7 separate regions of the Mus musculus genome follow, and all the other regions are reported to be linked to region 1. The links are microRNA targets in miRTarBase. Many come from high-throughput screens and were not tested one by one. Region 1 holds a microRNA gene; each other region holds the end of a gene's coding sequence.

Region 1 (4,067 bases):
GATAGGTGGACTTTTCCACTGAACCTAGAAAGAAGGCAGTGAAGTTCATTAGAGGCAAGAAGAGATAGCATTGTCCTATCTTGACTTAAAGAAATAGAAAACAGGGCTGGTGAGATGGCTCAGCGGATAAGAGCACCCAACTGCTCTTCTGAAGGTCCTGAGTTCAAGTCCCAGCAACCACATGGTGGCTCACAACCATCCTTAAGGAGATCTGACTGGTGTGTCTGAAGACAGCTGCAGTATACTTATATATAATAAATAAATAAATATTAAAAAAAAAAGAAATAGAAAACAAAACAAAAAACAGCTTTTGGGGGAAAAGTGTTTTGTATATGAAGGGGTATGGGTAAGGGAGATATTCACCCTAAAGGAGGTTGAAAGTAACTGAATAATAATGTCAGTACTCCCGTGTAGAGGCATATCTATCTGGTAACACAGGAATGAAGTAACTGCTACTGTTAGAGAGGGCTCACTCATTCTAGCTGGAGAGAGCTTGTTAACTACTAGGTAGGATACCAGAATAGGGCCAAATAAAAACTCAGGACACTTTTTTGGGGATTTCAGAGAAGAAACTGCCCTTGTCACAAGTGGGGTGCTACTCCATGTACAATCAGGCCAGTGGCTTCTGACTGGCTTTAAGTCCCTACCTGGCTTCAAGTATTGTGAATGAGATTGTTTGAGAGGCTCTGGATGCAAGGTAACTGATGGGTGTCTGGAGTTCTTCAAAGGCCATCCCTGCTGCTGCTATCTGCAAAGAAAAATAAGAAGCTACATTAGACACAGGACAAGCAACCAGTGCAAAGAGGGTATGTGGTCATGCATCGGAGATTACAATGTTGACAGCTACAGTAACAGTAACAGTATGATGGTTGCTTTTTCTCCAATTCTCTTAAACCTACATGCCCCCAAAGTGGCAAATGAATCTTAAGAATTCTTCCAGAAGAGCTGACTGTTCCAGATTCCTACCTCCAAAGACTAGTTCCCAGGATGATAAGTAAAAAACCATGGCCCTGATACTTAAGGTATATGTCAGAAAATTTAATAGAATACAAGCTGTGAAACACAGAAATACTATAGAGGCCAATGCATGTTATGGTTAATGCAAGATTCTAACTTGGAGGGGGTAACATAACTTTAGACCAGACCACCATCTTCAATTGGAGGTTCTCTTGTTCATCACAGCTTCTTTAAGGAGTTTAAAGTCAGAAAATGGCCTTAGTTATGAAACAGAAAGGTTTACAAGAGTAGATTAGTTGCAATTTGGGTAACTAGGTTTATTGTGCATTTCCTTTGCAGGAACAAAGTCTTTGCATGGAGATTAACCCCATATTCCTATATTCTTTCAACTATAATGCAGTGGACTGACCACAAATGATACACAATGGGATCTGTCTCCTTGTTATCCACGGACAGTATCAGTTGGTAGATCCCTAACACAGACCTTAACTATCTTCATGTTGCTCAGCATTTTGCTGCTTTCGTCAGCATTTTCCTTTTTGCTACTAACAGGTTCCCAATTTTTTATGTCCAGTAAAAGCAAGCATAAGGAGGTACAGCAGACCCAGCCCCAGGATGAGATGACTTATAGTATCTGTCCCATAGGCCAGCCCTGATAAGCTTATTTTTGGTTCTGACCACTGTGCAACACTTTTCCTTATGCACGGTCCAAGAACACCAAATAGCTTCCCCTAGCTCTACAAATAAGAGAAAGGCAGAAGGTGCCCACCAACTCTCCTGAGTCATGATTCCATATCCCATTCAGTGAAACTCCCTCTAGCCTTGCCTCAAGGTGCTCTCTCTCCATTTGGATTCTTCCGACATAAATTTATTATAATGACAAAGAACCTAAGCTGAGATTTGGTATGAATTTTTCACTTTGCCTCTGAGGAGGTTTTCCCTAGTATCAGTCCCTTAGTTTGGGGCCAAGGGTTCTTTGAAAATTTGGGGTAACTCTACGGGCATTAAGATCTTTGGCTATGACTACCACTTTCTTCCCAACAATTTAGTTATATTGTTAAAAATTATTTGTAAAATTTGCATGCCATTCTTTTTTCAAAATTACATTTATGTATATGTGTATGGGAGGGATGCCTGTGCCAGTGTTTGTGGAGGTCAAAGGACAACTTGCAGGTATTGGTTCTCTCCTTCCATTATGTGGGTTCTAGGGATAGATCTCAATTTGCTAGACTAGGCACTTTTACAAGCTATCTAACTGGCTGTGAAGGAGTCTAATTTAAGACAGTGTCTCACTATGTAGCGCTGGCTGACCTTAGTATCTGCTTGTCTCCACCTACTGACCCGAGGTTAAAGGTGTATGTTACCACACTTGGTTACTAAGAGATTATTCTTGAATGATACATAACATGGTTTCATACTAATAGCTTTAAATCTACTTTTCCTCCTCAATTTCTGTCTCTCCCCCTTCAGAATCTGTTTTTTCCCTTCTTAAAGTAGCCTTGGGTTATTAGGAACAGGCACTCGAAAAGCTGAGGGCTTCATGCTTATTCATGTAGATTAATATTCTGCCTCTGGAGCTAGTCCTAGATAGCGCAACAGTCTTATTGCATGACTGGATGAGACACTGTCCTTCTTTAAGCTTCAGCATCATGCTCTAAAAAGAGGCTGGATTACATACCTCTCTTTAGCTCTGGAAAGTTATAATTCTGTAAGGTGAAGACCTCCCTCCCCTGTGATATTCAGGCCCGACACCCTTCTCTATGCCACTGTAGAACGCAGTACCACTGTAGTATATGCCTTTCTAATACACTTTGAATAAAGCAGCAAATGAGTTCTTCTAAATGCTAAGCCCTTCCTCCTAAGAGGAAAAGTTAAGGGAGCTAACTCTCTCATCTTGATAAAGCAGGCAGACTGTCTCTGCCCACACTCAGACTGGCATACTGCATACACACTTGACTTTGCCCAAGGGAACCCTATATAGAAAGCCCATATACTTAGTGGTTGCTAGTCCAACACAACTGTATGTAGATGGGAAGGATATGTAAATATACCCACAGCAGAGAAAAATACCAAATCCCACACACTCCTGTTTTCTCCTACTTTGTGCCTGTACATGCCTGCAAGAAACCTCGGTGAGAGAGGACACAGCATTCCAGCCTTCTTTCTCCCCAAAGTCAGAAAGAGAAAGACAGTGAGACAAGAGCTACTTGGCTTCCTATAAATTGTTTTGTCCTTCCTCACAGCTGCAATCAGAAGCTAAGGGCTCCCGCAGGCCTTGTTCTGATCTGCTGCAGGCGATGGAGGGTTTTTGAAACGGAGAGGACTTGGCTGCAGCCCCGATTCAGCTGCCGTTGGGGCTGGCTAATGGGCTCATTCGGAAAGACCCCTGCCTGCTGCACTAAAGAGTCCCCTGCCGACCCCCTCCCCAGTCCCAACCCAATTAATAAATGGGGGCTCCCACTTTATGGCTCTGGGAGCAGGAACCAGATATACAAATGAGCCCCAGGGAGGGACAGAAAAAGGCCTTCCAAGAATCAAGCCAGAAGACTGTGCTTCCACAGCACACACCGCCACAGGCATTCATTTCCCATCTTTAAAGCATAACAGAAGAAACAAAAAACAAAACACCACAACCAACTAAAAATCACCTCTATATTCTTCCCCAGATAACATGAGCTAGAAGTTTTGATGTCTTTGCTATATACCAGGATCAGACTTTCTTGCCTGGTTCTCCAAAGTGAAAAAAGCTTGGGGCAGGTACTGGAGGCATATGGTCACAATGCATGCTCCAGTCCTCCTTTAGTAGGGTGTGCTCCTGTCTTCTTCAACACTGAACAAAGGTACACTGCATGTAGCTAACAAGCACCTGCTTCTTAGCAACTAAGCAGCCACCTCTTACCTAACTTTTACCATCAGTTCAACTGTGTCCTGGGACCCTCATCTGGAAACCATCCTTTAACCTCCCCAACCCACACCCCACTCACACCTATGCTGGCAGCAAGCCTAACTCCTGTGAACTCCCCTCCTTTCTTTGGAGTCCCCTGGTCTCACACTAGTGACAGTCTTTATTGCCTTAAGTCTGGGCAAGAACAGCATTCTAAAGAATTATT
Region 2 (4,067 bases), not on the chromosome of region 1:
AGTGTTGGCTAAAATGAAATCGCTGTTTTTATATTTAGATAAGAAATTGAGTCCCACACCTCCTCCTCTTACAACAAGGAAAGAACATACAGCCGTTCACCTAGCGAAGCCCAGAATTTCAGAATCCTCTCCTGTCCTCTTCTTTTGCAGGGCCACGGCCTTCGGCATCCTCAACGGACTGTGCAAGTTTGGGGCCATCCTGGGAAACACTATCTTTGCTTCTTTTGTTGGGATAACCAAAGTGGTCCCCATCCTTCTGGCTGCTGCTTCTCTGGTTGGAGGTGGCCTGATTGCCCTTCGATTGCCAGAGACTCGAGAGCAAGTCCTGATGTGACCAACCCACCGGGAAAAGACAGATGGGAAGATCTTTTTCAGGACACTCCAGCACAGCCACGCCTCCTGCCTCTCACTGTCTACAGGATACCGCGGACAGCACGGAAGGAGAAATGGACTTTGTGATCCCTAGTTTAGGACCCACTGCAGTTGTTAATACATTTTTAACTCAGGTGATTGACTAGGGGTGCCCAGAACCATCCTTGGGATCCCAGAGCTGTGTGCTTAGCTTCAGGTCTCTTCATCCCAGGCAGGGAGAGGACACTCCAGTAAACACACACAGTAAGCAAGGAGTATATGCTCCTCTAAATGAGGTGCAAAAAACTATTTGCATTTCGGACTGAAGTTGAGGACTAGAACCACTTAAGCTCCTCCATGCAGCTTCTGGGAGCCCAGTGACCTAGCAGATTGTCATAGTGGGGAGTGGGGTCAACACATACTGGGCTCAGAGAGCAGACTACGTATTTGCATTTGAAAGTATCACCTATCATATTTTCCTTTTGAAAACTGGCACAGTAGCCTTGAGGATACTCTGATATAGAAAAACCCAACCTTTAAGCAAAATGTATATAGACGGACTTTTCTTCCCAAGCATCCTGAACTTTGCATAACGAAGAGGTGATACACTAAGAACTATATTTATTATGGTTTTGCTCTTGTCAGAGCAACGTGAGGATGGGTATTATGTAAACTAAGTTTGTATATAAGAGTTTTGAGGTTTTATTCCCACAAATGGTGGCTGCTAAGGTTGCCAACATTTTAGCCATATTTGGGGAGGACTCTCCATTCAAGGTCGCAGGAAACTTGGTGCGAATGGGTAGCATCTTGCTTGCTGTCCGGAGGATGTACTTGGCAAGCCACGTGCCATTTCCTTTACCTGGGAACTTTTCTTCAAATTGGTAGGGCAGGTACTTCTCTCTCCTGTGTTGCTCATTTGTGAAACTCAGGACCATAGGTTGTTTGATGCTGTTTACCCAGAGAGAACAGGAAGAAATGAAATGAAAATGTTTTTATTTTTATTATTGGCTGCTTGCACTCCTTTTCTTTAGAGAGAACCCCCTCACAGATAACTGACTAAGGATGGGGAAAGGTAACCACAGTTCTTCAAAATGTGAGTTCTTCCTGTTTGATTTCAAAGAAAAACACAATGTACATTTATTATAGTGTTTAGGACCTATGAGAAATTTATGCTCTGTGTGTTGGCTCGGGGCGTTCGAAACAGGCCATTAGCATGCACATTAGGAAATAAAAGGCATGAGATACATTCGTTTCTTCATTGCTCCAAGGAAGCTTTTTCTGAGATCCAGGTTGGAACTTGAATGTGGAAAGGGGAGAGGGGGTCAGGGCTGCTCTGGCAGGTGCCAGCAGTCTGGAGGCTAGGCTGAGGGAGTGGCTTTTGTTCATCAGTACCCTCTGCAATGGTAGAGACAGAGCTAGGAGTTCCTGCCACCTGAGCTGCTCTTACCTGGGCCAGCAGAACGACTGACTGACTGACTGTAAGAACTAGTTTGCTCACGTTATTTGCAGCACACACACAAGCTGTGATGTGCTAATCTCTACCTATTAGAAATCTTCCCAAATCTAAACCAAACTAATGACTACATTGAGTGTTTTCTCAGTTCTGTGGAAATACTTAGATGCCAGGCCAGTTCAAGCCATCTTTGCCTAGTCCTCTGGAATATAAGTTGGCAGTGGGAAAGAGTGAAATCTTTGAGAACTTCCCATTTTCAAGTGTGGCTAACATGTTTACTCTGCTTCTCTGGTCCCCACCTCTTTATTTACACCACCATTACTTTCTGTCCAGGGAAGGAAGATGCATCAGGTCTGATGTGATAACCCCCATTACTCCAAATATAAATATATATAAATATACAGAATGTATTAATGCTTCTCTCGGTGTTTTATAGGAATTAACTGATAACGCTCTGTTGATAACGAGAAACTTTCTGTAATATAGCTGTGATGTCCTTTTCCATTTTCTTGTGATATGGAATGCATTGCTTAGGATCATGAGAGAATTGTATAAATCTGTGGTTATGTATCCCTCATAACAGTGTTCTTTAATGGGATAATAGACCTCAGTGCTCAGCTACCACTCAAGAAATGTACGAGACAGTTAGAATCCACATTTACAGTCAGATATATCTTGTAAACTTTAAATCTGACTAATTTTTAAAGCACAGGAGTGGCTGCAGTTATTTTAGGCTAACTGTTCTTGGTTTCTAAGCTCTGTCTTCTACATTACATTTATGGCTCCTTAACCTGTTTGCCTAACCAACCAAGGGCAATTCCCGTCCATCCATCACACGGGATGTGAGAAGGATGCAGCCATGGTCTGCAGCCTCTCTCATGAAGGGTTATCTGGCCATGGTACTTGGCTGCTTCATAACTTGCTGTCACTCCTGATGAGATAAGTGTGTCTTTAAAAATAGTCCCCGTGTCAGGTCACTGGGGTGTAATGTACAACATCCTTAGCCATCCATTTTTTCTTTTCTTTTTTTTTGCCCTGAGAGACTCCCAATGGCATCTATAGAGGACTAAAGAAGAGAGCCGTTCCCTCACTGAGTCAGACTGTTCACAGTTCATTATGTATTTTATGATGGCTTGTTTGGGAGCCGATACTTTCAGCAGTCTCAACTGTGTTGTGGGATCTCCTGATGCTGGTTTCTGAGCTTTTGTTTTATTAAAACTGATTAGTGAAAGAGGTGTCCTGGCTCTGAAATTTGTAGCACGTGAGCTTGAGATTACATAATAATCCACTCTTTGGGTTCCCTGGGTATTGGCTCATGACAAAAGAACGAAAATAACCACGAGTGAATCTTTAGGAACCGAGGTTAGAGATCATGTTACCTCACTCATGTCTCTTCTGCATTCCTAATGTGCTGGAATCCCTTCTTCTAACTCTCTTCTTTCATACGCAGACTTTGAATCATTTGGCCCAGGTACCCATGTGCTAGGACTGTATAATAAGGTCTAGAATGATGCTGCCTCCTTTTGTGGACTAACCCTCCTAGTTGAACCAGGCTTCTTCATATTTGCTCTATTAGAGGCCCCTTTCAGTTATAAACATGAATATCTTTGCTCTTCTTTGCTGTAGAGCATGCTGGGAAATATATTTACTGGATACATAACCATCATTTCTTCAAAGTGGAGTTCTTGGTACTGAAAGAAAATAGACCAACGAATCATTCCTAAGATTTTTTTTTGTTCATTAGAACCACCTGGAATGGAGTCTGGGGCAGTATCTCAGTGAGGTGCTTACTTGACAAGCATGAGGCCCTGAGTTCTATCCCCAGGACCCAACTAAGCTGGATGAAGTGGCCTTCTCCTACTTCTCCTAATCCCACTACTGGGAGATGGAGACAGGAGATCCCTGGTGTTGATGGTTAGCCAGGCTAGTCTAGTTGTCAAGTTTCTGGTGATGAAGAGACTCACCTCAAGGACGAGGGGAACAGTGCTTAGAGAGCGACAGCAGAGGTTGTCCTCTGTGCATGTGGACACTCATGTGCCTGTGCACCCCCACAGACACCCACATGGCTCTGAATGGACTGCCTGGCCCCGTCCCCAGTGATTCTGATTTAGTATGTATGGGACCGGTATGAGAATTAGCATTTTCAGCAAACGTGTACACTGCATGGTTGGTATTAGTCACTCAAATCATATTTGGAGACGCACAGACAACCTGCTTATACTTAGGCACGTTGATTTGTTGGGGCAGGAGTCGGGTAGCAGAG
Region 3 (4,067 bases), not on the chromosome of region 1:
TTTTATAAGACTTATTTATTTTTATTTATATGAGTACACTGTAGCTGTCTTTAGACACACACTAGAAGAGTGCATTGGATCCCATTACATATGATTGTGAGCCACCATGTGGTTGCTGGGAATTGAACTCAGGACCTCTGGAAGAGCAGTCAGTGCTCTTAACTGCTGAGCCATCTCTCCAGTCCATAAGATAATGCACAGCACTAGCTCTTCAGTGCTGTGAGTTCCTAACATTTTGCTAGCTCTGTCTGTCTATTTCCCCGGTACCTGTCAGAAGTGACTCTGTTCTGTTTGAAAGTTGGAGATGATTGGTGTTTCTTTGAGATGGGGTTTCATGTAGCCCAGGTAGACCTCAAGTTTTCTATGTGGTCCAGGCTGGTCTTGAACTTCTAATCCTTTTGCCTCAGGCTCCCTAGAGCTGGGATTACAGGTGTGAGCCACTATGTCCAGCTAAGAATATTTGTTAAAATTAAATCTTACAAAGTAATGATAGACTATTTACACTTCAGCCATGTGGCTAAGGAACAGAGCACTGTTTAAGATAACAAGCACATATGGGATAATGAGAAAAGATTGCTGAAAAACTGGAGACACTTTGAAGCTGGCTCTTTGCAGCAACTTTGGAACTCTATTCTTGATACATATTATTTTGCTTGCAGATGATGAAGAACGAGAGCTTCAGATGGATCCTGCAGACTATGGCAAACAGCGCTTCAGTGATGTCCTTTAAGTCTAAGGGATTCCCGAAACCCAAAGTGCTGTGCAACAGATCATCTCTACTTGTCAATTTTGACTTTTGCTGTAAAGATCAGTTGTATCAGTTGTAAAGATACATTGAGATAGATTTAAGGAAATTTTAATGAAGGAATGTACCAATGTACATATGTGAACTTTTTCATATTATATTATCAAAGCAGATACTTTTTTTGGTTACTACACAGCTGGGCCAAAAACAGTTAATCTTTGCATTTTAAAGCAAACTAATGTAAATTTCACATTTTATTGAGCCTAATTTTTTTTTCACAAAGAGACAAACAGGAACAAATGGTTGTACAGGTTATATGCTGCACATAGTATAACCACAATGAGAACTTATTCGGCTGAAAAGTCCACATTACTACATTTTTGTTCCCCCATAGGTGTCCTCTACTACCCCTCAGTTAACACTCTTGAAGAAGTTCTGAATAGTTACACAGAAGTGGGGAGGCTGGATGCCAGACAGTGGGCAAATGTACAGAATGGCCTTCTACTCCTTTATCTTACATGGGCCCTGATGTGAGTGTGCTGAGGCCTGATGAAAAGCCTAGGTCACCGTTACATCCTTACCATATCTATCAGTAGTTCCTTACTTGGTTCTTGAAGTTGTGGAATGCATGGTTGACAGTGTATTTTTATTTTTCAAGTAATACCAGAACTGTTTAACTCTGGTCAGCACTGGCTAAAATTCTTTCTATTTTCAGAGCTCAAGCTGGTGAATACATTCACCAGTTAAGAGTCAGACCCTGAGAGAGACTGAATCCACTTTGAAATGAGTCTGCAATCAGTACAGCAAAGCTTTGCTGGTAGTTTTAATGATCGTATTTGATTAGACTTTTCCAGAACTACTAAGTAAGGGATTTTAACAGGTTTTTATTAATGAACAGATGAGTAGAAGTACCGTGAAGTCTGCAGCTATTTTATTGAAATAGCTGAAAACTTTGTAATAAAAAATGAGTATTTGTAATTAATGTTAGTTAAGAACCCACCAAGCTCATTTGCTAGACTTACAGAATTATTTTCAGTGCATTGTGTCTTTTGGCATTATTCATTAGGATATATAAGCTAGCTAATCCTTGTTTACTGATTTCAAGCACTTTTAATTTTTTTGTGTTCCCTAAAAATTAAAGGTGTTGATCATAAGGCTGTTAATCCCAAGGCTATTATTCCTTTTTTTTTTTTTAAGAAGGGCTGCTATTAATTACACATAAGCATGAACTACTAGAGAGTGACTGTAGCTCAGATGTGCAGAGGCCTGGGTTTGATTCAAACACTAAAAACAGCAGACAAGTAAGTAGACATGAAAAGTCCCCACACTAAGGCTCTAATCCAAATACTAACAGAAGTATTGTTCACCTGCTGACATCTGAAGTCCTTATAGTTCAGTCCAAAGTTATTTAATGGCCAGGAAAAGATGGAATAATTTATTAAAATTTGTTTTTTCTGCTATCTCAGATTATATACCACTGGGCATGTATCACAACTGCAATCCTAGTGTTGAGGAAACAGAAACAGGTGTGTCCCTGAGGCTCACTGAATAGCCATCCTGGCCTAATTAGCAAGTTCCAGGTCCCTGTAAGGGACAGTTGTTCCTGAGGAACATCTACACACACACACACACACACACACACACACACACACACACACACGCATATATAAACAAGTTGACCCTCTGGCTTCCACATACACTCATAAACACCTGTACCTACATGTGCACACATGTAACTGCACACGCACATACCCACACACCAAGAAACTAAACAGTTCATGATTTTGTTATCAGTAAAGCTAGGCCTCTGTAGTAAAAAGTATGGTTCACATTAAAATACAGTCAAAGGGGAGTGACATACAACCATGGGCATTAGAAAGGGGAGCTGAACCTACAAATGCCTAGTGATACTCCATACTTGATACTGTAGAACTGTACAGACAAAATCATAAAGATGCCTGTTGGTTCCTCTGTTATAAAAGCAGTCACTTGATTTTATGGTACCTATCTATCTTTATATGGAAAAAAACTTCAATTAGCAGCCTAGACATTTTATAAACTGAGGAATCTTGGACCAATTGATAATATTTCTGACTGTATTAACATTTTAGTGCTATAAAATACTATGTGAATCTCTTTAAATTGTGACATTCTACAGTCTGTATTAGACATGCTATTTTGTTCTGTTTACAGTGTTTTACTTCTGCCTTAAGATTTAGGGTTTTTTTTTTATTTTGTTATATTTTAATATATTTTGCCCTGAATTAAGTGTTAATTTGATGGGAACTCTGCTTTTAAAAAAATCATCACTTTCTGGGTTCTAATAAATTAAAAGTTAAACTTGTTTCACAGTTTTGATTATATATATATAATTACATGAATATAAACATTTACATCTTGACATTAAAACTTGAATAAATGTTATCATTTATTTTAAGGTAAATTGGACTAAAAGACTAGGGTTGGGCTGGTGAGATGGCTCAGTGGGTAAGAGCACCCGACTGCTCTTCCAAAGGTCCAGAGTTCAAATCCCAGCAACCACATGGTGGCTCACAACCATCCGTAATGAGATCTGATGCCCTCTTCTGGTGTGTCTGAAGACAGCTACAGTGTACTTACATATAATAAATAAATAAATCTTTAAAAAAAAAAAAAAAGACTAGGGTTGTTTACTGTAGAACCAACTTATTCTGTAAAGGTTGAAAGTCTTTTGTGTCCTTAGAATTAGTTGGTGGTAGTGAGATTGTAAATAAAATAGACAAGGTCTTTTCTAGAGGTTACATTAATGTGGAAGCAGTCAGCATGAAATGGATAAAATAGAGATAAAGTGGAGAAATGGGAAAGTGGGTGTGGGGTGACCTAACCCTGGGGAGGAGAGTTAAATATTACTAAGTACACATCAGACAGACAGACAGACCCTGGGCCTGATTTAGGTTTTTGAAACCTCAAAGCCTACCCTTAGTGACATCCCTCCTTCAACAGAGCCACACATCCTAAATAAGTACACTCTATGGTGACCAAGGATTCAAATCTATGAGCCTGTGGAGGCCATTCTCATTCAAACCACCACGTAGATGTATGTGTATGTACACATGCAAAGAGTTAGGTAGTAACAGAGGCAGAGATTGTTAAAAAGAACTTATACTACTGTGGGCAATAATGCTTCCTGAAAAAACCATTGACTACCTAACAAAAACTCTAATATCATGCCTGAGAAACCACCCTCTCAAGTTGTTGGGTAACAGACTTCAAGAGACGCAAAACAATATAAGCTGTGGCTGTTTTCCCTGGTTGTCTCTCATTGCTGAAGACATGATACATT
Region 4 (4,067 bases), not on the chromosome of region 1:
CTCAAGGTGTTAGTCTTGTGGAGCAGAACTTGCTGAAGCACCTAGAGTTCACTACCTGCTGGTACAAGTGGGAGGGGAGGGTGGGAAGGCCCAGCTCAGCTCCCAGAGATCATTTCCCAACAGAGAATTTGCATACACACCAGTTTCCCCATCACCCAGCTTGGCTCAAGTAACCAGGAAGAGCTGGCATAAGGAGCAGCTGGGGCGGCTGCTTGGAATTTGATCCCTTGCAGCAAGCCTGGTGGCTCGAGCTTTGGTCTTGGGAGTTACATTTTGTCCCTGCCGCCCTCCCCGTTAAGCTCCCACGTGGATCACTGTGGGTCAGGCAGCTGAAGCCCTGAGAGAAGGGCAGTGAGTAGCCAGGGCTGCCTGCTAGTGAGTGGGGCGTGAACTGGGGCCTCACTGCCTCTAGATGCTGCTAGTTAAGGTCTTCTTTTGTAATGTCTGGAGAGGTGGTGTGTCTTTGTGCCCATTTCACAGGTGGAAGGCCAAGGTCCCGTGTGATCCAGTGCTACCTGTCTGAGTGGCCTCAGTGGCCAGGGGACAAGAGGTGGTGAGAACTTTGGAGTTAATGCTGAAGCAAGTCACAGAGAAGAAACAGCCTTGGCTTTGAGCCAGGCTGCTTGGGTAGCCCTGCCTGGAAGCAAGATTGAGAAAGAGGCCTGGAGGCATGGCCACGTGGTTGGCTAGTCCAGCTGAGCCAAGCTGTCAGGAAGCATGGGCACCAAGACAGGCATCAGAAGGCCTGAGCCCAGAGCCCGGTCCTAGCTGGCACCTATTGTTTGAATCTGTAGCCCTCACTGGTTTCAGTGGACCAGCAGGGCCAGGCCCTGCCTTCTAACATTAGCCATAGCCAGCTGGCACTCATGCTGCTGCCTGCCTGTGGAGTCAGCCCATTTCTCACCCCCATAGGACAGTCACAGATGACTTCAAACTCCGGCTAAGAAAGCCAGGACAGTGGAAGAGTTCTTCTCACTTCCCCTTGTGAGCGGCCCCTGAATCTCATGGCCCCCAAAGCTCCACAGTATGGTACAGACAGGGCCGTACTGAGCAGCCGAGTGGGCGAGCATTCTACTTGCTTCAGTGGGAGGAGCAGCTCACTTCCCATTTCTGCAGAGGCTTGAGTCACAACAGTCTGGTGTCAGGTTTTGGGATCAGGAAGGGTACTGAAAGCCCTGCCCCAGCCTGCCTTCCTCCGTGGGACCTTGGGCAAGTCATTCAGCATTGCCAAGCAACTGATAATGAACCCGACTGTCCGGTATTTTAGCTTCCTATCCCATAAAGACAAACAGATGCCCACAGACGGCCGTTTAACCTGAGAATACATTGGCGCCCTTGTGTGTCCGTGTGTTTTATTTCGTGTGTTTGAGACCAGAGTCTCATGCAGGCCAAGTTGGCCTGGAACTTGCTTTGTAACCAAAGACGGCCTTGAACTTGTGGCCCTCCTGCATCTTCTTCCGGGATGCTGGGATGGCAGGTGTACGCTCCAACACCAGGTGCTGAGTATTGAACTCAGTGCATGGTTGGCTGCCTTCCCAGAGCCCTGGACAATGTAGTTCCTTTGTAAGAATAAATAAGGCATTGCCGTCTCTCCTTATGCTGCTAACAGCTCCCGAGGAGGCCGGGAGGAACACGCATGGCATAGACACCTTTAATTCCTGTGGGAGGGAAGCTTCCAGCTCCTGCATGCCAACGGATCCTGATGTTTGTCCTAAGCAGGCACTTCTGGAAGGGTGGTCAGGGAAAAGTTGGGCGGAGCTCGTGGGGAGGATTCCCACAGTGACATTTTCTTCCAGAGCTTCACAGCTGTTCTGTACGGAAGTAGTTTTTAAAACAGAAATATGCACTAAGGTACACCGACTACTAAGTACAAATATCAGAGGAATTGTTCAAAGGTAGGATTATTAAAGCTGTAATTCCGCCTCCCCCCACCCTTTTCCTTGGCTGGTAATATTTGCTTAGGAATTGTGTGATAGCCTAGCCTTTCATTTAAAATATTCATGTTCATCTTTGAAGTTGGAGCTGGGAGGAGGGAGGAAGGTGTTATCTTGCCTGGGCTTGTCTAGGGCTGATGAGCAGTTTGACGTGGTGGATGGGGTCAGTCTGTGTGCCTGCCCACAGGAGTCAGTTATGGAAGCCTTCTAATGAGCAGTGCCTGTGCGGCAGGAGGCAGGTCACATACCTAGCATGTATTATCTCACTGAACCCTCATGACAAACCTGTAAGGTAGCTGCCATTAGGATTCCCATTTCATAGATGAGGAAACTGAGGTCTGGGAAGGATAGTCCCTTGCTCCAGCTGGTAGAGTCAGTGGCAGGGCGTCTCCAAGCTGCTGCTACTACCCCAGCCCTTCCTCCAGCTCTGCAACCCTGGTTCCTTGGACACACAGCAGATCTGGAAGGAGGAGCCTGTGTGCAAGCACCCAAGGGCTCCCTCACCTACTTGGATCACACCGCCCTCTGTGGCCCTGATCAAATCGTTTCCCTGTTTCCTACCCTCAATTCTTGTCATCAGAGAAAAGAGGAACAGCTTCATCCCTGCTGTCGCCCGCCCCGGCACCCCTCTACCCAGCTGAAGCCACAGGGCTCTGTGCCGTTACACTTCTTCCTGCAGCTGTCACCTGCTACCTTGCCTCCTATTAAGGTTCAGCTCCAAGGGACCAACTGCTTCTGGGAACCCTCCTTTCTGAGGACAGGGAGTGACATCTGCCCTACTGGCCTCCTGTCACCCCAGAGCAGCTCTACCCACCAGGCACAGTAAGGACAACTTCCTCTCAAAACGACTGGCAATAGCTTTTTTTTTCTTTTAAATTTCTCTCTTTTTTAAAAGATTTATTATTGTATGTAAGTACACTGTAGCTGTCTTCAGACACCCCAGAAGAGGGCACCAGATCTCATCACAGATGTTTGTGAGCCACCATGTGGTTGCTGACATTTGAACTCAGGACCTTCAGAAGAGCAGTCGGTGCTCTTAACCACTGAGCCATCTCTCCAGCCTGCCTGGCAATAGCCTTTATTTTGTCAACCTTTTTCATTTAAAATATTTAAATCTCGCCTCTGTACACAGCATACATGTGTCCTCCCACCCATGGGAGGTGTGGAAACAGAGGGCCTTGGAGCCCTGGTTGGGGGGGGGGTGTGTAGGTGGACAGAGCGGGCAGGGGAGGGGCTTAAAGAAGCATCTTGCTTACTAACATGAAGCCTCATGCCCTGTGAACAGGGATGAGGCCGCATTGGCTTGAGGGGGCCTCAGAGAGCAGGCACATGGTGCCTAACTAGCCGGTGGTGCCGGCGTCCCAGGGACAGGGTGGAAGGTGGGGTCCAGCTCAGGCCTCTGCTCCCCCATGCCTCCCACCCGGCCCTCTGAGAAAAAAAAAAGAGGGTTTGGGCATCAGCCACGGATGGACGGCCTGACCGGCAGCGTCTCCTTAAATGACAGAGATACAATGTGTATCAACAGGGTGATCACTTCTGACCTGTGCGGGACGGGTTGGGGTGCCGCGGGGCCAGAACCAATCCTATGGTATCTTTGGTTTGAGGATTCCCTTGCCTGCTTCACTTGTCCTTCTGTCCAGCTTCCAGGGTAGGCCAGGCAGGGGCTGGGGACCGCTATCTGTGATGCCCGACAGCCCCTTGCGCCACCTTCTGGCTTACTCACTGAGGTGCTGGGACTTGTAAGACAGGATCTCTGCGGCCAGCTGCTGCGGATCCAGCAGCTGTGGGAAGCGTCTCATTACAGCTTCTACCAGGTGTGGGGGGAAGACACCACACAGCTTGGTATATACACCAGCCCTTTCTTTGGCCAGGTCACCCACCCTGCCCCAGGGGCCCCCACCAGCCCCGGGGCTGGGTCTCTGGGGCTCCTGAAGGACAGGAGTGGGTGGGGGTAATGGGTACGGCTCAGACCAGTACTCTCTGGATGGGTAGGTGGGTGGCGGGGGCACATAGTCGGTGGGGACACTGAAGTGGCCAGCACCCATGGCTGGTCTAAAAGGAGAAAAGGAAGGTGCTGCTGGGACCTTGGATCCATAGCTGTGATAACCTGCATAGGGGCCCCGAGTGGGGCCC
Region 5 (4,067 bases), not on the chromosome of region 1:
TTAGGTGAGTGCATCTAATAAAGGTAAAAGCTAACCATGGGTGTGAATGTCGCCGTAGACCCTTCAGAGGCTCCTGGGCTTTTAGGACTAATCCCAACCCCAGCCTCCCTTTGCCCAGCTGAGGTCATTGGCTGCTAGTTCAATGCCACATGCCACGTACCAGGTCAGCTTCCTTGCTCTAGAGGAGGCCAAGGTCCTCAGGTTTTCCCATCATGAAAGCAGGCCCACAGCCTGGTGGCCTGGTGGCTAGGACACTCAAACATTGACACTCTTCCCAGAGTCCTGCCCATAGTTTTAACTCCACCCTCCATCGTTAGGAATTTTGACCTGTGCCCAAGTCCTTGGCTAGGTACTGACCATACCTTGTTATCTCTTCCACAGAGTCTCAGAACCTGCCAAAGCAGCCTCCTTTGATGCTCGCCCTGGGCCAGGCATCTGAATGTCTACGGCTCATGGCCCGAGCAGGCCTGGGATCTTGCTCCTTTGCCAGAGTCGATGACTACTTGCACTAGCAGACCTTCCTGGCTGGCTCTGGCTGGCCCTCCTTCAGCCCTAGGGCTGGAGCAGCCCTGTCCTCCGTAGGCATCTGGTACAGAGACCTGGAAGCCATGGGCAGAGTTCACTCTTCCTACCTGGCCGGTCCATCCTCCTTTTCTCCTTCCCTTCCTCCCTCCCTCCCTTGTCCTCTCCTCCCTGTCCCCTTCCACGTGCAGCGACCTGTGACTCAGTATTGGCTGGTTACTCATGTGGTAGCTTCTCCTTTAAAGGAGATTTTGTTTTGAGGAGAGGTTGGTTTTTTTTTGTTTTTGATCTTGTGTTTTTTTTTTTTAACTTTTTTTTCCTCCTGACTGAGCCACCAGTGTTTATCTCGGGAGAGTTTGTGCTGAGCTGGTGTCTGCTAACTTAGTAATGAAGCCTATCCAGGTTGATGATAGCTTATTATTTTCATAAGTAAAAAAACAAACAAATGAGATTATATATATATATATATATAAATATATATTAAAAAAAAAGTCACAGTATTTATCGTAGCACTAGTGGTCCAGCACCTCTTGGGTGAGGCTGTCCAGACACCATGTGTTTTTATTTGAGTCCAACTCATTAAAAAAGAATCATCTCTTGTCACTTCAATCAAGTGATTTGTTTATTTTAGGCTCCCCTTTTGTTGAGCCTCAGGTTCAGCTGCTGCCCAGGAAATATGGGTTTTGGGGAAGGCTGTTTGGTGGGCAAGGTCAGACTAAGCTGTTTTGCAGCATCCCAAGAGGTGTGGGTCTCTAGGCCCCCTATAGGTAAACAAAAGAACTGCAGGTTCAGGGATTCAGGGAAGTGAGGTGGGCCAGGGGCACACAGCAAAGCAAGGGAACACAGGGTCCGTAGCCAGCATGCTGTCTACCACTCTACCCTGCCTCTCACTGCCTGCCTTGCCCCTCTCTCCCATCTCAATGCCTGCCTTCCCTTGTTAAGATGGCCAAATAATTCATTACTCTCAGTTGATTGCCTGGAAACTACCTGCCTTCATCCCAAGAGCTGCTGTGTGCCAGGCTGCCAAGAGGAAGCCATTCCCAAGACAGAGGCCCTTAAGGACAGGGCTCTTTTCTTCCTGCCAGAGTCTTCACCATCACTGCCCAACCCTGATGGGATTGATGCTTTCTGTGGAGAAGTTGGTACCTCATGGAGACTGATTCTTGGATCACTGGTCCCAGAGTGGATGGAACCCTTGACTTCCTGATCCGGATTTCCCTACAGCTTAAGGAAGGCTGCTCCCTACAGCGTGGCCCCAGCGACTCTTAGGAAGGGGGGACTCCATGGGCCTTACATATGTCCCACCAGCTGTTTCACAGGATCCTCACAGCTGGCGGGACAACAGCAACAACAAAACCCACTATCCCAGGGCTGAGATGCTGCCAGGACATGAGTAGGCCATCTGTGGAGGGGACTGTCTACCAAGGAAGAGGAGGGTCTATACAGAGGACACCTAGGAGGGCCAGGATTTTACCTGCTTCACAGGGTGAGTGAAAAGCCTAGGCAACCTCTGCAAAGATTAGGGTCAACTGTGGCAAAGCCACAAGTGAGTTTCCAGTCTCCAAGTGCATCTGGGCAGGGGAAGCTTTTGTTCTGCTGGTGGACACAGAAATCAATGGCAGAGCTCGAGATGTTCTGTGCCCACCAGTCCTCACAAGGCCCACAGCTGGACAAAATTGAATTAGACCATCTGTCAGTGAGGAAGTAGGGCCTTGACTGAGATCCTCCAAAATTTTGCTTTAGGGTCTAATCCTACAGGCTACTATGTTTTCCTGGTTCCTGTCAGGGCCTTAGTTTACAGCTCCTCAGGAGGTCTTGTCCTATGTAAAGGAAATTTCATCCTGTCCAAGGCTGGGACACCCAAGCTCCAAGCTCAGGTTGGAAATATCAGGCTGTTAACAATGGATGGGCCTTACATTTGGAAATGAAAACCAGAGGCATTTGCAGAGCAGTGGAACTTAGAGAACCTCTCCACCAGTCCTCTCCTTTTACAGTGAAAGAAACAGGTCCAGGAAATTAAGTGATTTGACCAAAGCCACACAGCAAATAGTGGCAGAACCAGGACTAACTACTCCTGTGGGTTAGACAAGTCCTGTCGTGACCTAAAGCAAAATGGCAAATGAGCTTTGTAAGGGGTTAGGTTGGCGTGAGTTCAGCAGTGCCTGAGCAGCTGGCACCTTTCGTGGTGTGACGGGTAGGGATGGGTGCTGAGACGTGGATTGCGGAGTGGCTGAGAGGGCCTTGGACGGCTTGGGACTGCTGTGTGCTGCACGGGATTGTATGTCCACCTGGCTCACACTCAGTACCCATGGCCACCTCCCCATTTAATTCTGTGCCTTATCTCACTGTTTCAGCTGAGTCCAAGTTGTTTACTCTGTTCCTCTCCAGAGAGGCTTTCTGTCCTAGTTGGACAGCTCACTTTGGGGACATAAGCCTTTGTTCCACAAGCTGTGGGGAGGGCCAAAATCAAGCTGCTGGAGCCAGTAATTAGTCCAGTCCTGCTGCCAGAGGAGACCTGTATGCACCCCCAATTCCACTAGCCCATTTCCAGGAATCTGGAGTGAGGAGCAGTTCCTGGAAGCAACTTAGCAAAGAGCTGGACCTGACCCTGGTGTGCAAAAGGAGGACCTGGCCGGGTTGGGTTTGTCCAGTCCTGAGGTAGCAGCATTTCCTAGCTCACTTTCCCTAGGAGGCACAGATGGCAGCTCCTTGCAGAGCAAGGGCCAAGTTGGCGGATGACTCAGAGTCCCTCTCCCCCAATCCCTTCCTCTGAGGGTCTGTGGCTAGGTGCAGACTGGGTGCAGAACATCACAAACTAAAGAAGTAAGGACTGCCTGGCTACCCAGCACCTTCCCAGTCCTTAAGCACAAAGATGAGGCAGAGGACTGTTGGGGCTGAACGTTCCTTTGGTTGCTCACAACTCAGGTATGCATGTCATTCGGCAGCTGGACAGCAAAGCCCTACTTCACCACCAATCACAGGCATTTGGACCTGTGGCCAGATGGTGGCTTCTGGCTGTCCCAGTGCCCACCTCTTTGCATCGGTTCCCTCCATTATCAACTACAGCTGAAACTGGCATCCTCCACAGTGTGCACACTGGCTCTGCCTTTGTCCTTGCAAGTTGATATTCGGCATTAGCATGAAACTTGTGGTGTGAGAGGGTTGACAGAATTCCAACACAAACATCCTAGTAAATTGTACTTGAGATGAAAAGATTCCTGTTGTATTTTGACAGAATTATTTTTATTAAAATACACATCCATGAGCAATTGTGTCTGTTGTTCAGAATCTTACTGGAGTTGGGGTTGGGAGGCCCTACCTCTTGGTACCTCGGGGACTTTTGAAATGTCAACTTTCAACTTTACAAGACTCCAAAAGGGACAGGGACTTGAGCTGTTCTCGATTGAAATTGTTCTCAGACATGGAAAAAACAAACTCAACTTCAGAAATGTGGGCTATTGCTGGGCGTGATGGCGCATGCCTTTGATCCCAGCACTCGGGAGGCAGAGGCAGGCGTATTTCTGAGTTCGAGGCCAGCCTGGTCT
Region 6 (4,067 bases), not on the chromosome of region 1:
GCCATGGTTGCTCTCTCTAACTCCTGCTGAGCAGTGCTGTCTTATAGTCTGGTCACAACTTACATCATCACCTTGGGGCTCTCCCTTCCTGGTTAAGGCTCCCTGTGTCTAAAAGAAAGTTTCCCCTGAACTCGACTGGCTCCTCCCACAGCAGGTGAACATCACTTATCCCTACTCTTCAGTGACAACGTTCGGTGGCTGCAGGGATGACTTCATGCTTGTGATTAGATCCATTCCAGACCAGAGCTCTGGAAAAACCCGTATTGACAAGTTGACCTTCCGAATGCCTGCTCCCAAGGTGGGTCTGACAGCTACTATGACAGTTTACCCTGGTCTGGTGTGATGTGGTAAGCTTGATACTTAGAAAACTCTGGACAGCATCCCTAAGGGTCCGGGTGGAACAGCACGTCCATCTCTCCACTGAGCTGGAACTTGGTGGGAACTGCCTGATCCCAGCCACTGCTATCCCTCCTATCCTCGGGAGGGTACTGTGCATCTCAGACTCTCTAGGCCAGCAGAGGTACATTTTACTGGACAGCTACTCTGTGTGTACCCAATGTTATAGCCAGTGAAGAAGGCAGCATTCAGGATAAGGCTAGTTTAATCCTTTGCTTCTCTAACCTCCTTAGATTACAGAAACTACCTTAATGATGGCCAGCTACATGAACCACTGTTCTGCAACTGTGAACCTATCAGCCAAGCTCCCTGCAGCCCGCCAGCCCCGAGACCTGGATGGACAGTTCTTTGCTTCTGTTTCCTGCACTAAGGGGTCAGCTTTGCTGTGAACATTTCTCCTCCCCATACCCTTGCCACCACTCGTGCCTCTGGGATCAGATTGATACCCTGGAGCATACACTACTGTGATGGGTCTAATGGCCCCTCCTCAAACTGTTCTGTGAATTGTGAATTCCAGGGTCTCTGAAACCTTTGTGCTCTTTAGGTGCCTTACCTTTCAAGGCCCAATGTTCTAAGATTCAGACCCAACATCAAAACCACTATTTTACAAGAATACTGACTCTGGATGCTACCTGATTCTAGATAGAGACAGGGATGGCCCACAGTTACCAGGGCAATGGTACTGTATTTGGGGCTTCTGCACTGATACTCAGGGAAGCTCATCTTTTTATATTATACATGGTCTTTACGTGGGGACTTATACTTGAAGTTTTCTGAACATCCCTGAATAAAAATAGGACTAAAATTCCTAATTTACCTAAACTCTGGCAAATGCCTACAAATCTCTAAAACTGGACTTCTTTCCCAAATGGGAAAAACCCTGGCCAAGCTGGAGAAGGAAAGAATGACGAGCCCTCCCCTATTGGTGAGGAGGCATTTGCCATGCCCTTTTGGGCTCTAATCTTTTCAGGACTGTACAGTATTCCTGTTAAGATTAAAGCTTTTCCTCTCACACTGGACTAGCACAGGCAGGGACAGAGCCAGTCTGCACCCTTCCTGTGTCATTTTAAGGCCCAACAAGGCTCAGTGAAGCCTGTGCTCACTACTGAAGGACGAGGTGGTCATCATCTCCTATTCTCTCCAAGACCAAGCACATAAATTTTGCTTGTTGCTGCTCTAAGAGGCCACCAGAGAAACAAGATATCAGGAACACTAAAGACCCTTCCATTCTTGGAAGGCCTGGATTGCTCACTAAGACTTTTGGTAGAGGGCTTCTCGAAATTAGTTGGAAGCACAGGGCATGTACATATCTGTGGAAGTAGAAAGTTTCTTTCAACTTTGCCTTCCTGAGAATATTATCATCCCTCTCAACGCAAACCTTTTAGTTGATTTTGATGAAGATGATCTTTCTTTCCATCTTTCCCCACAAAATAATAATAATAAAAAAACAAGTCCATACTTTGGTTTTCCAACATATAAAAAATAAGCTTTATTGTGTAGCTTTAAGGCAGTTTTATTATTTTTCAGTAACATAGACTAGGGGATAAGAGGAATATCAAGAAATAAGCCTTTAACCCAACAATGTGTGTGTTGTACACCACAAGAAACTGCAAGGCCAAAAATTAGTTTAATCTGAATGCCTCAGCTGCTGTAATCCCTCATCCTTTGAACTGACAAGCCTGACTTTAAAAAGGCACAAGAGTCTGCCCCTTAAAAAGAGCTTGACTTGCAAGCCAGGCAGCTTTATAGCCATTTCTGTTTGAACCCCAACTCCCACCCCAGATTTGGGGTTCTAGAGGAGACAGGTCTACCTCAAGTCACATTGCTATAGGCCCCTGGACAGCTCCTTCAAGGCTAGGTGAAGGGCAGAGAATGCAGTTCTTGGTTTACATCCCAAGGGCCTTAAAGCCAGTAAGGATGTAGTCTGCTCTCAGGTTGTTTTTGTTTTGTAAACAGAATTCCAGCTAATGCAACTGTTTGTAAGACTTGAAGGTCTGATTAGCTACTGCTGCTGTGCTGCTGCTTTTTTTTTTCCTTTCTCTTGCTCTCTTTTTGAGATAGGGTTTCACTATGCAGACCTGGCTGTCCTGGAACTCACTATGTAGACCAGGCTGGCCTCAAACTCAGAGATCCGCCTGCCTCTGCCTCTGCAGTGCTGGGGTTAAAGGCGAGTTCTGCCCAGTCCAGCGCCTTTTCTCCTTCCTGATCTTTAGCATCTAAGGAACCACCTCTGAAACAAAGGCTTCTGTCAACTGGCTTCCTCATCCTTTAATGTGACAGGCTCATGTCTGGGAACCAACATTTAATCTCTCACTCTTCACCTAAGCCCTCTTAGCCAAACAGCTTTTGAGCAATAGAAAATATTAACAGAAAGGTACTCTCATGCTTGACACCCATGGCTGAAATGCTATGTATGTTTGTCAATAAAACTGTCAGTGAACCAGACAATAACTGTGTGTTGTGGATATTTATCTTGGGGTTTGAGACAGTGTCTCATCACGAAGCCCAGGCTGGCCTCAAACTTTCAATCCTCCTGTTGACAGCTTCTGAGAGCTGGGATTACAAGCATCCACACCATCCCTAGCTAAATTGTGGATGAAGGAGTCATGATCCTGCACAGATCTTAGGAGCTGGGTGGATAGAGGCTAGCCCTTTAGGCATTTTATTCCTGCTAACTCATACATAAAAATGTGACTTATTTTCCCTAACTTTTAGACAAGAGTCTATACAGATGGAAATTACATTTTTCTTGTGAAATCTGGTACCAGTCTTAATACTTCACAGATTTTAACACAAACATGAAGGTACTTAAAGTTTTCAGTGTTCTTTTTGGACAATACTTTTGGGTGGAGGATACTTACTATGTAGCTCAGAATGGCCTTAAACTCAAGAGATCACCTGCTTCTGCCTCTTGAGTGCTGGGACTAAAGGCATGTGCCACTATGCCTGGCCGCCTTTTGACATGTCAAAATCCTTAAGGTCTCCCCTTGATTCGTAGTATAGAAAAAACTGTATTATACAGGGAACATTATGAACATGAATCAAGTTCCAGCCCCTCCTCTGTGGTTCTGAGATCTACTCATCCATTCTGATTCCCAGGACTGTGTCCTGATGGTTTTTACAGTATGGAAAATAAACCGGCCACTACAGTCTAGGAGTCCTCTCCATAAAGACAATACTGGCCTTTGAATGCTGAGCCTCATAAGCTTGTTGCTGTGGCTTTCTGGTGTGCCAGAACCTCCTGGCAGCTTCTGTATACTTCAATCAAGCAGTCCAACCGGGGCTTGGCACTCTGAATTCCAAAGTGGAGAAATACAGAGTCAAGGAGAGTGTAAGAAGAATCCACCTGGCCCCTTAACCTCTCACATACACCACTGGCTCTAAATGGCAGCCGTGAACTAAGAGACACAAGGTTGAGGGAATGAGTGCTCTGCCAGGAGGTCTCCAAATCCAGCCTTTGTATGTGGGTGTGTGGGGAATAAAGACAGGTTTTTATTTGATTTGGCTTTGGTTTGGTTTGGTTTCTAGACAGGGTTTCTCTGTGTAGCCCTGGCTGTCCTGGAACTAACTTTGTAGACCAGGCTGCCTCAAACTCAAGAGATCTGCCTGCCTCTGCCTCCTGAATGCTGGGATTACACGCACGCAAAATACAGCTTTTAGCCTGACAAAAT
Region 7 (4,067 bases), not on the chromosome of region 1:
CATTAGCCCGACAGTGTCTTTACAAATAGAATTTCTGCAGGGCATGGTGGTACTCAACTTTAACAGCACTTGGGAGGCAGAGGCTGGCAGCTCCCTGGGAGTTCCAGGTCAGCCTGTCTACACAGTGAGCCTAGGCCAGCCTGGGCTACATAGTGCGACTCCAGGGAGTTTTTGTTTTTGTTTTTGTTTTTTTTAAATGCCAGCACTTGGGAGATGGAAGCAGAAGAATTAGAGTTCAAGGTCAGCCTCAGCTACAGCAGCAAGTTTCTAACTGGCCCAGATTTCATGAGACGCAGTCTTAAAAAAAAAAAAAAAAATCAGCCACTGAATGACGTAGTAGAAGAGGAAGTTGGGAGATAGAAGAACTTGATTTCCTTCACTGGGAGTAAGGCTCCTTCCTGTGCTTGCAGGGGAGAAATACGAACTGCACGCGGGAACCGAGTCCACCCCCAGTGTGGTGGTGCACGTCTGTGAGAGCGAAACTGAAGAGGAAGAAGACACAAAAAATCCAAAACAGAAAATCACGCAGACGCGGCGCCCGGAGGCTCCCACGGCGGCACTGAGTGAGCGGCTGGACTGTGCACTCTGAGCGGCTGCGGTGCCTGCCGCGCCTGCCTGTCCCACCACTACAGCTGCGCCTGTCTAGGAGCACAGCCCAGGGATGCTGTTGCATCCGTCAGGCAGTTGGGCCAGCCTCCCCAGGCCAGAACGTGGGGTGAAGTAGCAGATTCGGCCAGCTGTTTGAAATTCTGAACAGTATTCTCAATGGCACTTTAAGTGACAAGGTTAGCCCTGACCATGTGGCACCTGTCTCCTCCCCCAGAAATATTAGTTCCCTTGAACCTGTAGAGCATTGGGTACCACAGGCCAGAACTAGAGTCACCCAGTGCACTGCCATTTTTACAGATTTAAAAATTAGTCTTACGGTTTCAGTACTTTGGTGTGGGTATTTTTGTACAGGTGTGGCAGTGTCTTAACAAATATATTGAGCAAAGGCTGAGTGTTGTTCAGTAGACATGACCTTTTTTTTGTTGTTGCATGAGAAGAAACCCGAGATACAAAATCATTTGTAGAAGTCATTTCTCACAAGTATTTTTTCACTAGCTTTGAGGATGAAAGGCCAAATGACTGAGATTGTCAGATCCAGATATCGTGGGCAGATGTGCTCTTAGCTCTCCTGGCTGTCCGTCTGTCCTGCCTCTCTTGGCAGTCAGTGACAGTGGTGTACAGGACTCTGCTCCCAGCTCAGCCCTTCCCAGCCTCGGCTCTGCTGGAGGAATCTCCCTTTGCCAGTGGGATGTGTCACCGGGAAGCTTGGCTGAGGACTACAGAGTTGGAGTCTGTGGGGCAGCTCTTCAGTTACTCTCTTGACCCTCCTAATGCCGGCCTGCTACTGCTTGAGGTTTCCTGTGCTGTGCGTGTAATCAAGGACGTTAGTCGTCTTAACTTTAGAAGATAATGATAAGACTTTGTGAAGACCGCTTTAAATAGGGAGAGCCAGTTTGCTTTTGTTTTCTTCAAAGACAGGGTTTCACTTTGTAGCTCCTGGGCCTCAAGTCCTCTGTGATCCTCCTGCCTCAGCTTCCCAAGTGCTGGAATTAGAGGGGTGAGCACCACACATTTCAAAGTTTTCCATTCAAGTATTTCAGCTGTTCAGAAAGAAAAATCACCTGTCCTTTCCCCCATGGATTAGGGAAAGTAATCATTCTTTTGGGGGTGGTTGGGTTTGTTTGTTTGGTTGGTTGGTTGGTTGGTTGGTTGATTTTGAGATAAGGTTTCACGCTGTAGCTCATGCTAGCCTGTCACTCATTATGTAGCCCAAGCTGGCCTTGAGGCCCAGACCACTCTCTTTCCTCAGGCTCTGTTTGTTTGGATTGTAGGCATGGGCTTGTTGTAGTCTATGCTTCCTCCTTTAACAATCATTTCCACCTTTGCTTGCAGTTGGCCCTCAGGTAGAATTGCTTCTTACACTTGAAGATGTGTTGTTGGGGCCTCCATAGGTCACTCAGCATCACTGGTCCCTTGCAGACTTTCCTGCCTTTGAGTGCTGGGCTACAGGTACATCAGCTGCTCCACTCATCAAGTATTCAGAGCTGGCTGGCCTAGGTGAAGGGGCTGGGCATAGAACAGAGAGGAACATAGCTGCAACTGCAAAGAAAAGAACGTAGAGAAATGAAGCCATGAGAGCCGTGTACTTTGCGTGACATGTTAGGGCTGAGTCCTTTTGTGGTAGGATTGATTTCATGAGCGTGCATGCATGAGCTCACACACAAACACACGCACACAGGTGCATTGTCTGTCATTAAAACCGGGTCCCATGTAGTCCAGGTTGACCTCAAACTTGCTGTGTCCCAAGGATGACCCTGAACTGCTCCTCCTGCCTCTGTCTCATAAGTGCTAGGACTGAGGGTGTGTGCCACCATACCTGACAAGAACAGGAGAGTGTCCCTTGCCTTCAGGTCCTGTGGAATGCTGAATTCTGCGTTTGCCATTGGGAGCCCTCCGTGCAGATTCAGTTGCAGATTACGATTCCACCCGCATTGGTTTTTAGATCCAAGTCATCTGTCAGATAAAGTGAGTTTGGTTTTGAGGTGACAGCTCAGTGTGGCCCAGGTTGGTCTCAAACGCCAGGCCTCAGTGGGTCTTCCCAGTTGACTGGATGCAGGCACACAGCTGCTGTAATCCTGAGACTTTGGAGGCGAATGCAGTAGATCAAGAGTTCATCCTTGGCTTACAGTGCTTTGCAGTGCTGAGCTCGGCAGTGTACTTCATTTGATTGTAAGGTAGACCCTAGCTGCCAGCAAGTGTGTTCTCACAGTTGGGGAGTTTGTGTGTTCCCCGTTATACAGTACACGTTCTCTCTAATTTTCTATGTGATCATAACCCTGTTTTAAAATTTGTCTTGGCTTTCATTTTCTACCCCTCAATGAAAGAACATTCTTTTTTTTTTTAAGTCAAGAAGTTCAAATCTGCATACTTGATGCTACCTTGGCCACTGGCAGTTGTGTTGCCACCTTATCTGGGTTCCCTGGATAGTCACATTCATGCCATGTGTTAGAATTTACATGTTAAAATGTAAACAGTAGTGAGAGCGGAGCCAGGCACAAAGGATGCATGGAGTTAAAGGTTCTACGGAATGTCCCTCTCCCTCGGTTTAGAGAATCAAGTTCTATTCCAGACTAACGGTGGGCCTGGGCTTTATATTTTTATGTAAACTATTTTTAGACTGGAGGATTTGGTTTTCAGAGGAAAGCTTTACGCATAATTAAACCATGGGAGTGTACTGGATTCTTTGATGCCTTGGGTTCACACCTACCTGCTTGCCTTCTTCTCTATAGAGCCTGAGACCTCACCCCGGGTCACCTCCAGCCTCCCTCTGTGCTCCATAATACATCTATCTTAAAGGAAACCGTTGTCTGGGTGTGGTGGCCCTGGCCTGTAATCTCAGCCTGCAGGAGACTGAGGCAGGAGGATTGAGAGAACGGGGCTAGCTTGGGCTACATGAGTTAAACCGTCTCAGAATAAGGTTTTTCCTTTTTCTTGGTGTGACAGTACAGAGCAACTGGGAAAATATTTACTTCTAGCCAAGAAGTCTGTTCTGGACTCATTCTACACAAACTTAAGTACACACACAGAGAGAGTACGATGTATGAACCTTGAGCAACCACATGACAAATGACTGTTGGTGTTTCAAACTCCCTTCAAGAGTGTGTTCTCCAGAAAAGCCATCCCTCTCAGAGTGCCACTGTTTCCCTCAGTCTTGAGTGGAGCGCAGTTCATAGTCAGGATTACCGTGTATTCAGCACAGTGACATAGGCTGTCCTCTCAGCGCTTGGGAGGCAGAGGTACCAGGGCTTGGCAAGCTTAAGGCCAGCCTGGGCCATGTACCGAGACCCTGTCTAAAAACAAGGGGATTCCTGGGTGTCCAGGTATCCCAGGGACAGATAACAGCAACTGTGCATCTTGTCCACGGCTGGGAACGTGCCGTATTCCTTCCCTGTGGTTTCTAGTCAAGGCTAGAAGTGATCCCAGATACGGTCAGCATGCAGACACCACCTACTCACTCG

What was found. Region 1 holds the annotated microRNA mmu-miR-5119 (CAUCUCAUCCUGGGGCUGG, at 1,562-1,580, opposite strand). A microRNA usually pairs through its seed, bases 2 to 8, with sites in the 3' UTR of a target mRNA and lowers its output. Matches are read on the target gene's strand: a 7mer-m8 pairs with bases 2 to 8, a 7mer-A1 pairs with bases 2 to 7 and ends in A, and an 8mer does both.
Region 2: the mRNA of Sv2b is a reported target of mmu-miR-5119. Seed matches in the 3' UTR shown: 8mer at 1,588-1,595 and 8mer at 2,739-2,746.
Region 3: miRTarBase lists Golm2 as a target of mmu-miR-5119. Seed matches in the 3' UTR shown: 7mer-A1 at 836-842 and 7mer-m8 at 3,311-3,317.
Region 4: the mRNA of Zc3h12a is a reported target of mmu-miR-5119. Seed matches in the 3' UTR shown: 7mer-m8 at 2,891-2,897.
Region 5: miRTarBase lists Ranbp10 as a target of mmu-miR-5119. Seed matches in the 3' UTR shown: 7mer-m8 at 968-974.
Region 6: the mRNA of Plekhh1 is a reported target of mmu-miR-5119. Seed matches in the 3' UTR shown: 7mer-A1 at 2,450-2,456.
Region 7: miRTarBase lists Rcan3 as a target of mmu-miR-5119. Seed matches in the 3' UTR shown: 7mer-A1 at 1,766-1,772.

The regions. Positions count from the first base shown.
Region 1 is chr11:98,260,151-98,264,217 of GRCm38, reverse strand. It overlaps Mir5119 (microRNA 5119), which reads right to left and starts at 1,612; the gene lies at 1,556-1,612. It also overlaps a transcript of Cdk12 not described here.
Region 2 is chr7:75,113,862-75,117,928 of GRCm38, reverse strand. It overlaps Sv2b (synaptic vesicle glycoprotein 2 b), which reads left to right. Exons shown (of 13, transcript NM_153579.4): 13 at 151-3,035. The coding sequence ends at 334. Among named protein-coding and RNA genes, the nearest start is that of 4930533N22Rik, 86 kb to the right of the region's middle.
Region 3 is chr2:121,932,819-121,936,885 of GRCm38, forward strand. Golm2 (golgi membrane protein 2) reads left to right here. Exons shown (of 10, transcript NM_001205369.1): 10 at 660-3,402. The coding sequence ends at 730. Among named protein-coding and RNA genes, the nearest start is that of Gm39916, 9.1 kb to the right of the region's middle.
Region 4 is chr4:125,115,630-125,119,696 of GRCm38, forward strand. Zc3h12a (zinc finger CCCH type containing 12A) reads right to left here. Exons shown (of 6, transcript NM_153159.2): 6 at 2,785-4,067. The coding sequence ends at 3,650. Among named protein-coding and RNA genes, the nearest start is that of Zc3h12a, 10 kb to the right of the region's middle.
Region 5 is chr8:105,768,032-105,772,098 of GRCm38, reverse strand. It overlaps Ranbp10 (RAN binding protein 10), which reads left to right. Exons shown (of 14, transcript NM_145824.5): 13 at 1-4; 14 at 382-3,791. The coding sequence ends at 512. Among named protein-coding and RNA genes, the nearest start is that of Gfod2, 11 kb to the right of the region's middle.
Region 6 is chr12:79,078,809-79,082,875 of GRCm38, forward strand. Plekhh1 (pleckstrin homology domain containing, family H (with MyTH4 domain) member 1) reads left to right here. Exons shown (of 29, transcript NM_181073.3): 28 at 152-298; 29 at 630-2,847. The coding sequence ends at 785. Pigh (phosphatidylinositol glycan anchor biosynthesis, class H) reads right to left here. Exons shown (of 4, transcript NM_029988.2): 4 at 1,861-3,688. The coding sequence ends at 3,596. Among named protein-coding and RNA genes, the nearest start is that of Pigh, 8.8 kb to the right of the region's middle.
Region 7 is chr4:135,412,942-135,417,008 of GRCm38, reverse strand. It overlaps Rcan3 (regulator of calcineurin 3), which reads left to right. Exons shown (of 5, transcript NM_022980.4): 5 at 411-4,067. The coding sequence ends at 589. It overlaps Mir700 (microRNA 700), which reads left to right and starts at 376; the gene lies at 376-454.